Linked DNA regions of Oryzias latipes. The protein of the gene in region 1 binds, or shares a complex with, the protein of each later gene. Links are inferred from orthologs where the notes say so. Each region holds a gene or a part of one and is shown on either strand. Other genes may lie near its edges.

Region 1 (8,970 bases):
GCACTTGCTGCCGGGCGTGAATCACGTTCACGCGGAACGCGTCCACGGCGTTACGTCTGCCACAGAAGAAGAGGAGCAGAAAGAAAGTTTAGGAATGGAGTCAACGGATTAAGGTTTTGTGACAAATGAGAATGGATCGTTTGACGTGAAAATATTTTTTGCAAAAAAAGAAAAATTCTCTAAAGCATGGACATATTTAATAGGAATAAAATGCAGAGGGAGAATGAGGAGGTAGACACTTCGTTTTAATGTCTAAACTGTGATCAAACCAACAAATAAAAACTCACAGCACAGCAAAAACATTAACTGGACTTTGTGGAAACAAAAAAAATGTTTCAAACCAATAATTATCCAAGTAGGATTTTTATCTAGTTCTTTTGTGGTAAAACGCTCTACAATGCTCAACAGCCCTCAATTTAAACGGATACAGTGGACAGGATGGAGCTTGTCCTGACAAAAGTACCAAACCACACTGCTAATTGCTGGGAATATTCTGGAGTGCACATCAACTCACAACAGACATTACCAAAACCAGAAACATACAATTATCACAAATGATGTAGAGGATCTGTATGATCCCTTAATGGTTGTTGCACCACGGTTCCTATAAACACTGCGGTGTGAAACAGGCCGGGTTGGTTCACAGATGTTAACACGCTGAAAAAACTGTCCATGAAGACTCCATGGAAACAAGTGGACGTGTTGGAGTGAGTGTGAGGCATGTTAGTTCAGGATGCTGCCTTACCTGGTTGGGGTGTGAGGTGTTTTTATTAACCACAAATGAACAAAAAACACAAACTGGCAGCAAATTTATGTCCAGCTGTAGTTAAATCCAAGGTCTAGCTTTAACCGGGTGATTTAATCCAAACTCTCTCATTACTTTTGAATTAAAAAACAGAAATTAAATGAATAAATGACAATTCAGATGACTTGCCTGGAAAATTTCCATGCTCAAATGACATGCTAGAAGTGGCAGTTCTGGTTATGTATGAATTCCTTAAATCTCTCTTTTTTTAGATGATAACATGACAGGTGACATGCTTAGAAGAATCAGCAGGAATCCTGATGGTTGGACAGATGTGCATGCACTTTGGGGTTCATGAGATCCTCGAGTTGTAGCCTTTAAAAGGTGGGGTTCATGCTGTAGAGGCTGCAGTAGCTCTTACCTATTCCTACAAGGACCGTGATGGACAGATGGAGGATAATGGTGATACAGAAAATAGAGAGGAGAGAAGGATGAAGACAAAAATGTACAGGAGACATTTTCGTGCATTGTGTAGACAGAATGAGTAAGGTGAGGGTTTTTTTAGGGAAGTGGGGGGCTAGGTAAATCATTAGGGGACAAGGTTAGCATTATTTTACTACACTTTATCCTTGGGGTTTACAGTGCAACACCTCAACAGATTGAATTCCCCTTTAGTACAGTGTGTGGGCTAAGGTAATGGCAATCAACATTACTGCAAACATGCCTCAAGTTCATAGCGTTTTAGTTTTCCAGCGGATTATGCAAAGTCAAGAACTGCTACATCAGGGTTTCTTTTGTTTCCGTCTTTTCCCGCTTTATTCAGCAAAACGCATTGTGTCTGTATGAGAAGACAGAAGCTGCTGAGGATGATCAAGAATGCAACAATGGCTGAAAATGAAGCAAAAACAACTAATTGTGGCAAAGAGAAGAAAAGTGGAAAGAAGTGTACGCTTTTCTTAAGTGTTCTATTATGTTTGGAAAATGTATTTGAAGAGCCGCATGTGCAGATGCAAGAAATCCTACTGAACACCTGCATTAGGCATGCACACTTTGCTTTTGCCATCCTCCCTCAGAACTATACCAATGCACAAAAAAAATTTTGAATTCTGATTTTGCCTTTAAATTGACCCATATGGTAAATCTGCTGTGCAACTTTTTGCCCATTCTTCTTCTGTATGTCGACTGAACAGTCCGCTAAGACAACATAAACCCCCAAGTCAACAAGTCTGCAAGTTCTGGTTCACAGTACTATGACATTTTGATTGAAACAAGTTTCCTAGCCATGAATGAGGCCTTGCATCTAAAACTCAACCACTGGTTTAGTCAATGGACATGCACAATCTGCTGATTGTTTTAAATCTGAAAGAACAACACTTAAAAGACCATAAATAATACTTTTTGTACATAAGAAACTAGCTATGGGTCATCCAAGTATTTTTTAACCATCCAATTTAGGTTCTCTGTAATTCTTCCTGCCTCTAGAACTGAAAACAAAAGTCAACTCTTGATGAACAGCTCTAGCTAAAGCAGAGAGTGTGGTTTGATAATGCGCCTGAGCATCTGTAACTCTAATCATTTATTCAATTTGCATAGGCCTTCAGATTGTTAAATAAATAGCATCTAATCCCTTAAACAATGTTATATGAGCGGATGATTTAATCCAGGCTTACGTCTAACTCAGCTTCCTTGCACAAGCAGACATGATTTTAGCTGGATGTGGTGACATAATCCTCTCATCGAGGAGATCAACTCCAGCTAGCCCTCCAACGCAGGATCCAGATAGTTCCATTGAACTGAAGTCTTCCACAACTTGAGGAGACTTACAGAAGGTTAGTTCGTGTCAAACATACCCTATGTCATCTCGGTAGACACGGGAGATCAGGACCTCCCCCTTGTGGTTGTAGATAAACAGTCCTCCAATCATTGTGGCTGCCTCTCAAACACACCTTGCCATGATGAAACCAAACACCACCTGGCAAAAAACAGAAAGGAACGACATGAAGGCAGTGGTCCCCAAGCTTCCCCCCCCCCCCCCCCCCCTCACAAAGGTGTAACTCTCAGAATATATTTTATTTATGGAAAATCTTCAATGAATCAATAAAATCTTTAAAACAGAGTTTATAAATATAGTTTTTTTTACAAAGCACTAAATTTATACAAAATAAAAATTAAATGAAGAAATGTGATTTGTGTATCAAAAAAGGAAGAAAAAATTGTTGGTGTAGTAAAGAATAATACCACACAATGTGTTTTACTTCTTATACATATTCACCTTGTGTTAAAGATCTCATTTTTTGTTGTGATCATTTTTGCTGGGATCTTCATATGCATGATTGAAAAATACAAACATGTATTTAAATCTAGTACCTTTTTGGGGTACATATCTACAACAAAATATTAAGGCCCCATACAAGTAAATAAAAATTAAGTACAACAAAAAAAAAAAATCAACATTTACAAGAACAAAGTCGTAAAATTATGAGAGCAAAGTTGTAATTTTACAAGAAAAATGCATCCTTTTTGAATATAAAGTTGGTTTTAAGCCTCCATCCATAGTCATATTGAGTATCTACCTGAAAACTACTGACATGGAGGATTAAAAATTAGCCAGGAGAAGTGAAAGTGAGGGAGTCACCGCTGGTGACACAGAGACACATTTGTCCCTCACATCCTCTTTTCTCTCTCATCCTCGTTTCCCTTTTGCCAGCTGACTAATTCCTGCAGCTGCACTTCTTCCATTCGGACTCGAAGGAAGCAAAAAGATGCACACACATATCCAACACGCTGACTTGATGAGGCAATGGATCTCCATACTAATGAAACGGCAGTTCTTTTCCTCCAGTGACATATTAGATAGAAGAAGAAGATTAGGAGCTGTTATGGGTAGTTTGTTTCCAAGTTGCCTCTATCCATCTGTTTTAATGCCCTCCCGCTAGCTTACAGCTATTCACACCTCCAACCCAATTATTGGAGCAATAAAAACGGCGAGCACTTTTGGAGCTGTCCAGCTGTCCAGTGTTGAGCCAGATATCAGTTCAGGCGAGGAAAATGCAGACATGCATGGATGGATCTATTAGTCTGCAAGTGGATGCATCAAAATGTAGCGGAGTACAGAGCTTGTGGCCCAATGATTGCAGCACCTACTTCCCTGCTATGAGCATTTTCCAATGGAGTTTTTTCGTCTGCTCCTGATTCACAGCAATTTGAATATAGAAATACTCAAACACAATTTTAAGCTCAATTTTCTTAATGTACGTCCTCTATAATCAGAAAAGTGCCACAAGTCAAGAACATGTTAAAAACACAATTTTAATTGGAGTGGGTCTTTGATGTGTCACTTAGCCGAATACAAATGCTCATCAATTTAATTTAGATAAAAAAAAAAAAAAAAAAAAAAAAAAAAAACAGAAGTAGCAGTTTAAGGTTTAAAAAAATACAAAAAGTAACTTAAGGGCTGCTGGAGACAGGAATTTCTCTCTGTCCCTCCTTTTTTCTCTCCTTGATGATAAGAATGAACCTTCTGGAAACCATGAAGGACATTTCAAATTCCTCGAGCAGAAAATCCAAACATCGAAAAACCGACACTATGGGAGACTTGACACGTTAGCTGCAGGATTAGCAGCATGTTTTCCGCTTAAACACCGCTAAGTCGTGACTTAACCATCCGCACAAAACCTGAAGAGATTTAATCGCCTCTTTTTTCTGGCGAAGTCAAGATGTCTGCTCACTCACTGGGGCCATTTTCATACAGTCATACATTTCAAATGTTTGTAGAAAAGCAAGGGCCAAGTTTACCAGTAACGTTTTGTTTAAACAGTTACGTGGACGCAACACAGCCGAGTGTTTGTTCTTCGGTAAAAGCAGACTGCTAATTTAAGCTAATTTAGCTAGCGATAGCGGGTTAGCAGGCGATGGCTTCCAGTGAAATACCGTCGTGCATGGCGAATTTTCAAACGGAATATCCGGTCACAAGTACTACAATTCTGCGACTTGACAGGTTTTCTACACAAAACGGTTACGTGTTTGTTAAAACAATCAATGTCGCTCGTTCGACAAATGTGTTTTAAACATCTCATGCACACGCGGCAGTTTCAGCGTTTCCACAAAATGGAAATTACTTCATTTCTGTTATCGTGTGGCTAACTCCTGCTAGCTTGACGTTAGCTAGGCAAATAGCTGCTAACGTTAGCATAGAGGGGAAAGCGCTGACCTGCTTTTCGCGAGTCACTGGGTTCTAGCTAATCGTTTCGTTCCGGATACAACGACAAATTTGTCAACTTACCTTGGTCCTCTCACCAACACCAGGAGTTTTTCCCTTCCCGCCTGGTCTTAAATATAACGTCTGCAGAGCAGAATCTCTGCTCACACACCCGCTGCCCCGGTCCCCCGATAACTGTCAGCTGACTCGCCGTCCTTACGCACGCCTGTTCCGCTGACAGGAAGAAAAGGCGCGGCCAGTACGATGGCTGGGTGTTAACCGCGCCCAGGCCTGCCTAGCAGTTGAGAAACTACACGAGCTGTTCATCCAATGTAGTTAGAAATGTGTATTTTCAAACTAGTTTATAAAATAAAGCGATAGGCCAAGCCTTGAGGAATGTTCCCAATCAATCGCACCAAAAAGACCCAAAGATATTTTTTTACTTTGATTTCGACCATTTTAAGTCAAAAACAATTGTTGGTCAATAATCGCCTGCAATTTATAAACAAATTGATCTCAAATAATGAGCAATATATAAATTTATATAGTTGATTATAAAAGTTAAAAGTTTTTCACTCATAATATATTCGTACTTTTCTGTGTAATGTTTTTAAATCTGCTTTTGTTCAACCTTCATTATATCATTTGTTTATTCACCTGAAGTCTTAAATTCACTGCTTTGAAATGCAATCATGACCTTAAATATCTCAGAATGACGGAATTTATCTGACCAGTTTCTTTAGTGCGCACAAAAACACCACACAAACACACAGATATATCATAAAACTATCTTTATAAATAAAAAAGACATTTCTTTCTCAGTAAAAGAGTAGTGTGAAAAGTCTGATAAGAAACATTTTCTACTATACAAAACAGGTTGATGATTTTCTGGTAAAGCAGCTGAGGTGTTGTGTAAAAATGACTATAGAGCTAAACGCTGAGGTTAAGGGTTAGAAAATGATGAATATTATAACACAAATGCATCATTACTGCAAAAAAAAAAATTCTCCTGCACTACTTTTTTTCCATTTGTGTTAAACAATTCAAAGATCTGACTCAGGTTGAGTTCTTTTAAACTTCTGCTCAGTTTCTTCGGTTGAGGTCAGAATTTAGGTGCACAAACAAGAGAGGGAGGAAAAAGGCTCTTTTTCTCATTTCTGATGTACACTATGAGGACATGTAGTGTCAGATCAGGAAGGCAGATGAGAGGTTGGAAGAAATAGAAAACAGCAGAACACATTAGAAAACATCTGGAAGCTAAAGCACTTCATCCTCTTCCCCAGCAGATCGTTTCCAAGCCTCCCTCCGTTCTCTTGTTTGTTGTCCTTGCACAAAACGTCTCCCCGCATGGAGCAGAGGCTGTGAAAGGCGCTTTGGTTCCAGGCTTTGTTTCTTCACTGAAGAAAGTATGACGCTTATAACTAAATGACTAAGAACAGAAGCACAAATGAGGTGAAGGTTTTTCTTTTGGCATGCAAAAAATGGACTGCTATAAAGGAAAGTGAAATCAAGGCCATAGTTTCCAACTTGTTAATCTCCCACTCCCACAATGTCACGCTGTCCTTCTCAGCCTTGTTATTTGATAAAGTCCAATCTAATACTTTCTTCTCCAACAGAAGGCTACAGTCACATCACATCGACAAAGAACTCTCCAGCATTTCCCACTGCCATACGCAGAGACTGGCGCGAGGCGGTGAGCTCGGGGGGCACAGAGGCCAGCTCTCTGCCTTGTGGGGCGCCGGGGGCAGCTGTAGACAGATGTGCAGGCTGAGGCGGTAAACCAGGGGGGCCATAGACGAGACCGGGCCCATATGACAGCAAATGGGAGTTGGCACTGCGCTGGCTGAGAGAGCTGCGGATGCTCCTCTCACTAGGGGGAGCCACCGAGCGCTCACTGGGAGCTCTGTGGCTTCGGACCTCCGATTCACTGCCGCCGCTGCCGCCAGATTTTCTACCTTCATTCTTGCTGCAGTTGGAGCCACTGCTTCCTGTTGATAAAGCATAGGAAACAATCATTGCAGTTTGAATGCAGTAGCCAAAAATCTTACCATTTTTTAATGACAGTAAACTATTTTTCATGGGTATGCCACAGACATGATCTAATTTTTCTAGTGCATTTATTATAGACCAGTACAATCACGAGCTAAGAGAATTCATTAACTTCCAGACTCAAAACAGCACACAAATATCTACAGGTGTTCATACATTTAATACAGATTGAGATTTTTCCATATTTTCTAGGTTTACAAACCAAATCCGTTTGACGAGATGCCATCTGCCTGTTCTATTACATTTTTCCCGCAGATAATATCACAGCCATGTTATTTGTAAAGAGCATGTTAACTCTAAACAGAATATTTCAGATTTATTTTGCAGTGCTCTTTTCAAAAAAAAGGTTTAAATTTCCAAACTAATAAATGGAGGGGCTTTCAAAGAACAGCTGTGTTGGATGGAAGCAATAAGCTCACTGCACACAAGGCATGCAAATATGAAATTATTTGGCCGTGCAACGTATCGTATGTAAAACATAGTGCAGCAGCATTTGATGCCCCGTTTTCATACAATATACCTTGTGAAAACTGAGACTGAACGCTCTATAAGAATTCAACGTGATTTTATGGGATGACGAAATATTAGTCAGTATGTTGGGCATGTTTAACCAAAAGAATGACTTGTCTAATAAAATGTCTTTAGTAGACCCATCATGACATTAAAATCCAAAAGAAAGAATTTCAAGCAAAAATAATCATAGAAAATTGGTGCAAAAATGGTAAACCATATATCTTTAACTAAACTAGATTGGCACTAAAAGAAAACATCTAAATGTAAACTTTAATTAATTTTTTTCAAATCATGTTATAAAATGTTAATCAACATATTTGCAGCTAAACTGATGGTCTTTTAAGAAATCAATATAAAACACTGAACACAGAAAAAAACTTTTGGTGTGTGGATTACAATTTATATTTGTATGTTATTCTAAACTAAAACTAGAAATTAGGTTTAATGCAACGGAGACTGGTAAACATGTTTTATTGCAGTTATGTGTTTGAATAGATTCTGCTGAGTGTTACTTTTGAATCTATTGGGTGCTTACTGCCATGAACAGCAGCATTTTAAAGTAAATGAAGTCTAGCAGGGGTGTTTGATACTCTCCACTAATGCAATAAGATAAAAATATGTTTAAAAAAATCATCTGGTAGAATTTATGATCAACTCTTAGGAATGGACAGAGCGTCCAAATCACATGATCAATTGTAAAAGGCATTTTTGCCTGTTTCAAGATGTTGACTGTCCATTTCAACCGGCCCTAAAGCAGAGACTTCAAACTGTATTCCAGATGTGGTTTTGCTTTTTATAGCCCTTTTTTTTTTTTTTTTCATCTCCCAGTGTTACAATGAATCCTTGACTTGTATGTGGCAGAGCCAGTTCACGTTTGTTCCAGTGGACTTACCCCTTAACCCATTGAGTAATAAAGTAAACACATCAACTACCCAACACACTCCATATTGCTGGTTGCTGGAGTGAACACTAAGATTTTGTGGAACGAATAGGGTGGAGCAGGTGTCAGTGAAAAGATTTCTGAGCAGAGATCCTTGGAAGATTTGAGAGATTTTGGGTGTTAGGAGTGAACAGTGAGATGGTGTGATCAAAGTAAGTTGCTGATCAAAGTAAGGGGACCCTGTGGCACTGAAAGACCTCATGGCGGAGATGGTGTGGTGTTCCCACGAGCAGGAAGGATGATCACATTCCTGAGCTCCTCGTCAGAGAGACTGACTCCAACAGGGGCAGACAAAAATGCAAATGCTGCCTTCAGGTGGACAGAATCAGGAAGCACACAGCTTGGGAGTGTCAGAGCTGTGATGCTGTCCTGTGTGTACAGCTGAACAGAAACATTACATTTGTGTGGGATCCTATTGGGAATATAAATATGAATATAAACATTTGATAAATTGGCTGCATTTTACTCCGTTTTGGCAAACTTTGAATACGATTTTGTTCTGACTGTGTGTTCAGCTGTTAAAAA
Region 2 (9,095 bases), on another chromosome or scaffold:
TCATCACATGTGTGTTGTCCACTGTGATGTACTTGTTTTTTTATTGTAATAGTAAAATAAACATACTGTGCTGCATTTTCCAATATTGATATGATTGACTTATTTCATCTTGATAATGTTCAGGTTGGTTTGATTAAAAATTTCCCTCAGACAGATCAATCCAGTTGGATTGTAGTACTATAAATCGATTCATTGATTAAGTCAATTACTCGTTACACCCCTAGTTTATTTCTTTAAATGCTTTTATGCATATTTTTCAAGCACAAAATTAAAGTTAAACGTTGTAGCAGGACTTGTTGTGATGTTGTTGTCAGCTTTGTACAGAGAGCGGGCTGCAAAGTGGTACAGTGGTTGGCGCCTCTTGCCTCACAGCCAGGGGACCCTGGGACCTCCCTGTGTGAAGTTTGCATGTACTCCCCGTGTAAGTGTAGGTTTTCTCTGGGCACTCTTGACCTCTTCCCGAAAACATGCTTAACCGGTTAATATATGACTCGAAATTGTGCCTAGGTGTGTATTTGAATGCTAAAATTTAAACGCCACACTCACTCTGAACTGTCTCAGCTGACAGTTCAGAGTGAGTGAGACAGAAGTAAAAATCAAGGAAATCACACAATTTTTTTTAATTATTTTTAGAATAGTGCAGAATATGAGGAGTTAGGTAAACTTCAGCTACAAGACACAGAATGCGGGGAAACAATCGAGGAAATCACATAGTAGGATTTTAATGAAAGAATTGATAAATTAACTCCTACAAATAAGCAAGAATTCGGTTCCTCACAGACCTGTTACCACTCCTTTAAGAAGCTCTTCTGTCCAGAACTGGCCATCAGTATTTATGTATCTTCTTTGAACTGGTTATCTGTATAAAAGACACTTGTCCACACCCTTAAACAGTGAGACTGCAGTCTCTCCACTCTGACCAAAGAGCTGTCTAAAGACACCAGAGAAAGCTTGTAGACCCGAACCAGACAGACATGAAGCAGTCTACAATCAGCACGTAATGGGTCAACATGCAGAATTGGTGACTGCCAAATGAATATGTTTTTAGACCTGAACATGCTTGCAAACTACTAACTTAAATGTTGACCTGTTGATGTCTTTGTATTCACTGGAGCAACAATAGTAAAATGATCCTTGTTCCTTGATTTATAGTCTGATTAATTCAACGTAGCAGTTTCTTCCTGAGCCAGACAGAAACTGAAAGTGGTTGAGGTAATAAAATCTCACTTTGGATTCAAAAGGTCTCGTCTTGCAAAGGCGTAATCAAAAATGGAAATGGAAAAGGAACTGTCATTGTATCACTAAAATTGAGAAAAAAAATTCTTTATTTTATTGATTTCTTAAAGACCGAATGTTTGCTTTTAACACAGACTTCTATCAATGTTTCTTTAGTGAATCCCACATTGAAGGTAATGTACAGTAGGGTTAACCTTTCTGCCCAGAGCACATCCACTATCTAGGCTGATGAATAACTTTTGGGATTTACTGACAGTAAAACAACAACTTTTCTCAGGAGTTAACTGACACAGCAGCACAAAGGAGCTTTTGCTTTAAATTTACACACAGAAACCGCTTTAGTAAATGATCTGAATAGCATTTTTAGAGCACATCCCATTTTGGTGCACAAAGAAACTTTCGGTGCTGCTTGAGTGAATCATTGGGTGCCATAGGTGGTCCCCATTGAAACCTGCATAATAAAAATAGAAAACAGGCAGAACAAAAGACACGTTAAAGACTTGTGCATACAAATATGAACAAGAGCAAAACATGCAAGAGACGTCAGAGCATTGAGCCTCAGAGCAATGGTTACTTACAGGTTCACTGTCAGGACTTTCAACCAGATATGTTACTTTCTGTTTGGTGTAGAGATCCCTCTTTCTCATGCATGTTAACATAACCCAGTCTGCAACAATGGGCACCTGATGAAAATATTAGCAACAGTGAAATTCTGAGCGTCGCCGCTTTTGCTTTTAATGTAATACTTTTTTTTTTTTACATACCAAACTTAGAAATGATAAAGCTGCACCCAGATTCACTATCGCTGGAACAATTCCAAACTTCCCTGCCTGAAGGATCCAAAACCAGAATCATTGCAGAGTAAACGTTTCATTCTACAGAAGATTTTAGGATCTGTTTAGGCCTTACCGTGCCGAACACAATGACCTCGAAGCGGATTCCATATGCCTTGATTAACGTTCTTTCCTCCACCCCGTCTGCTCTTTTGTAGAACTTTGCAAATCTGAAAAATAACCAAATATATAAGCCTGATGATGCCATTTTCAGCGTTATCAACTTCTTAAAATGCTTTCATTAAAACAGACTCACCTGAAGTTGTAACCTGGGGCCACATCGTTACCCTGGTTTTGGTTGTCCAGCCGGTGGAAGCTGTATTTGGGAAGACACTTGCCGGCCCACCAGTCGAGGTCGCAGCTCCAGTCGATAAGAATTCCCAGGATGCCACCCTTTAAGCAAACAACGCAAGAACATGTTAGCAAAATCTGTGTGGTTTTCCATTGAGATTCCTTACTTACCTTCACTGCCATCTCTTGAAAGTCTGCTTCCGCCTCGGAAATGATGCGTTTGAGGCGGAATATGGGGCAATCAGGGTCGGTTAAACGGTTGAACTCACAGTGTGCCAGATACGAGGAGTTAACATGAGGCAGGATGTTTCTTCTGACGGAGGAAGAGGATAATCACATGATAGGAGACCTAAAACACCTGTGTCTGCGTGCAAACGACGTCGTAAGAGAACACGAACCCGTGAAAGTTGAACTTAGGGTATGTGATGCTGTTTTTTATCAGCACTGTGAAGTTCTCTGCCGCAGCCAGCAGTGCCTTTCTGTGGGACGAGAACTCATCACGTTAGGTCTCGTTTGTGCAATCCTTCCTGCAAAAACTGAAGCACTACAGCAGTTCTTACTTCGGCAGCCTTGTGTCCACTTCAAGTGGACACCATGAGAACACTTCACACGTCTTGACAGTGGTGGAAAAGTTCTCACACAGTCCCGTCCGGATGCCTGGGTTAAAAAAAAATCCAGTTTCATTATGCGGACCTAAAATTTACAGATGGTGTTTGAAGCCATTTCAGACAGGGAACCCTACCGTTTCTGCGGGGATCATTGTAACCTTCAATGCAATCGCAGTCGTCTTTGCATACAGTTGATGGGTTTGGAAGCTGGAGCAGTAATCACCACAGGTTAATTCAGTTACACAACAAAGCTCTGAGACACAAAAGGTTACAAAAATTAAACAAATCTAATGACCGCCTAATTTAACAACAGCCTGGATTGTTTTTTGTCAGATTTTCAGTGATTTTCGCCTCATAAAAAAAATCCAAATACTATGCCTTATTTCCTCCTCAACAGTCATTGAAGCTAAACAAGTAATAAAAAAGCTGAGTCAGTTCATTGGTTACCAGTTTTGCTTATCACAATAAATTGACACAGTGCAAAAACTGAATCTTAATTAATTAAAAAGACCTTTGTTTCAAGACAAAATGTCTTGTTTTCTGGTCTTGCAAAAAAAAAAATTGTATTAAGAAAGTTTTTCAATAGTAAAAATTATCTTAAACATTAGAGACTAGAATTTTCTTTTAAATAAGAATTTATAGTAAGAAATTTTTTCTTACTCCATTTGCAGATTTTCTTTAAATAGTTAATAAATGAATATATGAAAATATTTTGACCAATTTCGCCTGTTTTTGCTGTGTACCCTGGAGCCAACATACATCTATGTATTCACTTGCAAAATGAGTTTCTATGAACCAGTGCAGTTACCAAAGACTTCCACTAGAGGGCAAACCATAAGTCATAAGTCAATTTAAACTTCAAGGTTTAGGAAGGTTAGTCGGTAAACACTGTCTTGACTTGTTTGGTTAGTTGTAACATTGGAGGGGATTTCTTGTTTTCTGTAATTAGATTTGGTTCATTTGATTTTTGAAATCTGGTTATTTCAATCAGCAGACCTTTTTTAATTCCAAAAACTCACAAAACTCTAAAACTAATCAAGGAACCAAAAAAATAAGAGCATGTATAAGGAAACTACAGAATGAGAACACAGAAGGAGTTATAAAAATAACAAATATTTAATACTTGGGGTATACACTGGGAAAATTGCCCTTCTCAAAACAAGTTCAAACATATAGAACAAAGATGTTTTTCTCTTGTTACAAGTAAAAAAACTTCTTAAATTGTGATGTCCTTCCCTTTCAAGATGAGACTGAATCTTGAAATTGTCAATAAACACTCACATTTAGGAATATTGATATGATAATTGAAAAGATTTCTTAAAATAAATGTAATGTTAAAAAACGTTTTCAATCTTTAAAATAGACATATTCAAACACTCCCCCCAAATATATTCTATTTTATCTTAAATTCCTAGAATTACACTATTTAACATAAATTTGTCTGAAAATTTTTACGAGTTAAATTAAACTTTCCTGTTTCCATAAATCACAAACTTATTCTTAAAATATTATAGTAATAATTTGGTTTTATCCAAGATTTTGCTTCAAATAAGATGTTTTCAAGATGAAAAAACACCTCAAAAAGATTTTCAAGATTTATTAACTTAAGTAGTTAACAAAGTTTTGTCTTTTATCAAGTGTAAACAAGATATTTAAACTAGAAACTAGACAAAAAGACTTGGTGAGACTCAGCAGTGTCCTGCAGGTTTTCCTTGTGTATTTTGGACTAAACCATTTTCCTTCTTACCTCATGGAATTAAACCCTTTACAAATGAGTTAAGAGAAAAACTTTGACATTCATTCACCCTAACCCTCCCCCCCCCCCATCTTTATTACATCAAGTTATGGCGGGCCTGTGGCTCACCTCGGGACAGTGGGACTGAGTTTGTTCAGGGGTCACAACCAAGTTGGTCAAGATGAAAAACGAGCTATCACCCTGTCAGAAAAAGAAGCAAAGCAGTTCATGACAACGTCTGTGTGTTCCTTAATAGGAATAGGATTAAATGCTGGAATACCTGAGGCGGGATTACATAATCTGCAACGTCCCACATGCGTGGGTCCATATCAGATGTGTTGGTGTAGGCAAAGCCCTTTACTTTGGTGGTGACGGTGCTGATGACAGAGTCCGTCTCCTGGTATCCCTTCTGCACCACACACACATACCTGCCGCAGGTATAGTCGTTTCATGCCTGAACCGTCATCAAGGACCACATCAGCCCCCCTCCACCCAGGAATTCATGTTCAGGACTTACCCCACCACATACAGCACCACCAGGAGCTGAGTGAACCTGAAGACGATTCCCACACCAAAGTGAGGAATAACAAGAGTTTTGGCGGTTTCGTAGTCGAAGACATGGTGCAGAAAGCCCCGGCAGCCTGCAGCTTTGCTCATCTTTGCACCATGTACTGTGACGGACTGAGCAATGATGATGAACGGACATAGTTAGTCAAATCATTGTATTCAAATCAGGCTTGGCACAGACACAATATTCCAATGTGTGTGGTTTTCTTTTTAATGTTGTAGCAAGCCCCCGTGGTGCAGACTTGCTACCTTTCCCCTGGTGTCAGTTTACTCAGCTGATGAAACTTGCTGACATCAGTGCTGGACGTGTTTTCTCCCCGTTAATGACAGCGGGAGAGTCCCAGCAGCAGCAAACTTGACTTCAAACATCTGACTGCACATTTCCATGCCACAGTCAGATAATGAAGAGACAGCTTGTCCAGCTGCTTTGCGCACACATCAAAGGCTGCAAACATCTTTGTCTTGCACCACACGGATTACAAATTCATTTTATTTCCATTCCATGAACACAGGACTTCATTTGGTCCAAATGGATCTCTGATATAAAGTCTATAAAAACAAAGCAATGTTTGCATCACACATCAACATTTGTGTCCACACTTTTCGTTATGCATGAAGCTCATATCGTCATATCTACATAGGTAAAACAGACAGCCGAACAACATTAAATGGAATAATGTTTGTCTGCATTTGTTCTCCTAACATAAAGACATGCTGGTTTATAGATTCAACTACTTTCTAACACTTTTTTTTGTGTTTCAATGTTGAATGTTCAAGTATGACATGAAGGCATTGGACAAAAATAAAATAAACAGTCCACAGTAATGGAGCTACAGTGTGAGGCAGAGCTGGATAGCCTTCTTCCGCCCCTCATCTCCATCCTTTCATTTAGTTCACGGGTCTCAGGCTCTAGGCCTTGACGGCCGGCATCCTGCTGGTTTTTTATAAAAGTCCTGCCTCATCTGCTGCTGATTACCTGGGTCAGGTGTGTTTAGCCAATAAGGGGCTTCAGTGTTTGGTTTGTTGGAAATCAAATAGGCCCCCCTACTTCATGCCTGGAGTTTGAGACCTGTGATTTAGTCATCGTAAAGCTGACAGCGGCTTTACTGATCTGGCCCTCTTTCGAAAGTGCTGTACATTTATAAAAAGGATATCCTATTTCAAACTAAAAAGGGGGGCGGGAGCTTCATACTTGGGAGAAATCAAACTCCAGCCCCCCCTCGTGCAGGTTGCCTCTGTTGCGTTGTCGAAGCTGTTCTTGCCGTGGATCTGTTTGAGGTGCTTGCGCAGCACCGGCTTGTGGGCGAACACCATCTCGCAGTAGTTGCAGCGGTGCGGTTTGTCCCCGCTGTGCAGGTTCAGGTGATCCAGCAGCGAGCACTTCTGCGTGAAGGTCTTGCCGCAGATTTTGCACTGGAAGGGCTTGATGCCGGCGTGCACCCGCATGTGTCGGTGCAGGTTGCCTTTCTGCGTGAAGGTCTTCCCACACAGGAGGCACATGAAGAGCTTGTGCATTTTGAGGTGGTTGGCGTAGTTCTCCAGTTGCCGGAAGACCCGGGCACACTTGGGGCACTGGTGGTACCACTGCAGCGGCTTGTCATAGTTCCTCTGGTGGCCGCTGTGTTTCTCTGCGGGTGGGGACTGGGGAGGGGGGCTGAGCGGGTACCTGGGCATGCCGGGTGGAGCCGCCATCTCACTGCAGCGACTGTCCACCGTGGAGTTGATGAGGGAGTGTTGGGGCTCAGGGGACTGCAGAGCTGTGGGAGGCGTGGCAGAGAAGTTCCCCGTGATGGAGGTTTCTGCCGCGTTTGACACAGACTCCACCTTCACTATGGTGATGTCATTTTCCACCATACTCTGCCTGGAATGCCTGGTCAAACTCTGGACAGGGCTTTTGGGTTGGATTATAACGTCATCATCACTGTCATCATTAGTGTCTTCCTCAACCTGGCCTACCACCATCTCTTCCTCCTCTTCGTCTTCCTCCTCCTCCTCCTCCACCACCTCCTCCTCCTCCTTCTGCAGGACAGTCTGCACCTGAGACTGCTCTCTGTGTGCCGGCGAGGGTAAACCCTCCTGCCTCTTCTTCTCCCTCTTCCTGTCCACATCCACCCTGAGCTGGTGTGAAGCCTCAGGCTTGATGAACTTGCTCAGAGCTTGGGTGCACTGCTCCACAATGTGGCCCATTTGAAGGAAGCTTGCCACTGTCAGGTAGTGCACCAATTCCAGCTCAGGAAACTCCAGCTGGCCTGTGTAGCACGACAGCAGGAGCTGCCGACCGACTTCCGCCTCCTGGATCATAGAGATCTGGACCTCTTTAGAGTCTTGCTGAAGGATGAACTGGTCCCTCAGGAACGAAGAGCCTGCAGCAAACACCACCTTGTGACCTGGAACCTCCAGCTGGTTGATGCGCACAGTCACATCGCAGAAACGTCTCTGGTGTCGCAGGAGGTTCATCTTCTGCAGCATGGAGTCCCCAAACGTGGCGAAGTGGAACTGCAGGATCACTTGGTTTTGAGCCATAGTGACCCACAAAATAGCAACAGGAGCGCCGCACCTAACCAGAGGAAAACCAGACACCGCATCACTTATTTTAAACACGCTGTCAATCATGCAAACCATTATGCAAAGCATGCAAAACAAGATTTTGTTTTCTTTACGGTTTGTTTTCACTGCATGTCAGAAAGGTTTTCCTCTGAGATCATGCACGAGTGGTTTCCAAATTAGAATGGAGCTTTGGTTTTTATACAAAAATATGAGAGAAACGCACATTTATCCAGAATTGATTTCATTTCTGCACTCCTTTTTTTTCTTTTGGGAAAGCAGGTGTAGCAGAGGATTTTCCTCCTAAAAAGACAAGAGGTCTGTCATTTTCATCTTCGATACACTTAAACTAAGAATGAAAGAATGGGAGATAAGAATCCAGGAAATCAAACTTTAGGATTTTTAATGAAATAGTTGGTAAATGTCTCAGTAAAATAAGTCACCTTCAGACAAGCCAGAATTCTGCTCCTCACAGACCTGTTAGCTCTTCTATCCCCTACTCATTTCCTGTATTAATGACACCTGTTTGAACTGGTTATCAGTATAAAAAGGCACATGTCCACACACTTAGACAGTCGCACTCCAAGCTTCACTATGGCCAAGGCCAAAGACCTGGAACAGACCCGCACCAGAATAAAAAAAAAAAATAACTGAGTCTGCAACTGGTGAGCAGCAGTTAATTTTATTCTTTGTTTTACCTCGTGATGGCAAACTCTAGTCTACGCCTCGTGAAACACTGACCAACTTCAACACAACTGGGCTGAGATCGACACTCTGCTCGGATCTTTTCAGTTAAAAATAGCGACATCTGCTGGTTGTCTATTATTACTACATCCGAGCACACATTCAATCAAACCCCTTGTGACTTCAAGAAGATTTTAAAGCTCAGTTGATGTTTGTCTTTTTATGAAATGTTTGATCAAAGGTGTGTAGTTGTCATTTATCTGAATAACGGTTTGATGTGTGAAATATGTTGCATAGTAGTATTGGCTTTGGACCCACAACAACTATGTTCATCATCATCTCCACTAGTGATTTGTTGGTCGCAAATGAAACGGGGGCGAGGGATGTTCAGATATTCTGAGTGAAGTGATCAAGTGTGGGAGCAATTTTTGGAAAATGTAATTTATACAAGACCACTAAATATTTCCGTCAGTCTGGTGGTTCATGAAAAATCTCAAACCGTGGGTCAAAATGGTCACAACAACGGTGAACAACAATCCCAGAAGCACATAGGGGGACCTAATGAATGACCTCCAGAGAGCTGGGACCAAAGTAACA

The links.
Region 2: the proteins of ap2m1 (region 1) and p2rx4 are in contact, whole or in part, in a crystal structure (PDB 2BP5), measured with the Rattus norvegicus proteins. The link is inferred for Oryzias latipes from reciprocal best matches to the Homo sapiens genes AP2M1 and P2RX4. Residues at the interface, in NP_446289.1 of Rattus norvegicus: Phe174, Leu175, Asp176, Lys203, Asn217, Leu316, Ala317, Gln318, Lys319, Glu391, Val392, Pro393, Lys400, Val401, Arg402, Tyr403, Leu404, Ile419, Lys420, Trp421, Val422, Arg423, Tyr424, Ile425; in NP_113782.2 of Rattus norvegicus: Val375, Glu376, Asp377, Tyr378, Glu379, Gln380, Gly381, Leu382, Ser383, Gly384.

What each region holds. Positions count from the first base shown.
Region 1 is NC_019875.2:21,531,611-21,540,580, reverse strand, and holds the start of ap2m1 (AP-2 complex subunit mu), read right to left. Parts: upstream 5,243-8,970; 5' UTR 5,028-5,242; intron 2,718-5,027; 5' UTR 2,670-2,717; coding exon 2,596-2,669; intron 57-2,595; coding exon 1-56. Other genes in the region: dvl3 (segment polarity protein dishevelled homolog DVL-3), read right to left, coding at 6,570-6,931.
Region 2 is NC_019867.2:25,318,810-25,327,904, reverse strand, and holds p2rx4 (P2X purinoceptor 4), read right to left. Parts: upstream 5,392-9,095; 5' UTR 5,361-5,391; coding exon 5,221-5,360; intron 5,132-5,220; coding exon 4,984-5,131; intron 4,905-4,983; coding exon 4,833-4,904; intron 3,176-4,832; coding exon 3,103-3,175; intron 3,018-3,102; coding exon 2,921-3,017; intron 2,840-2,920; coding exon 2,759-2,839; intron 2,674-2,758; coding exon 2,326-2,673; intron 2,240-2,325; coding exon 2,146-2,239; intron 2,067-2,145; coding exon 2,001-2,066; intron 1,920-2,000; coding exon 1,815-1,919; intron 1,688-1,814; coding exon 1,655-1,687; 3' UTR 707-1,654; downstream 1-706. UniProt on the Homo sapiens protein: ATP-gated nonselective transmembrane cation channel permeable to potassium, sodium and calcium. CTP, but not GTP or UTP, functions as a weak affinity agonist for P2RX4.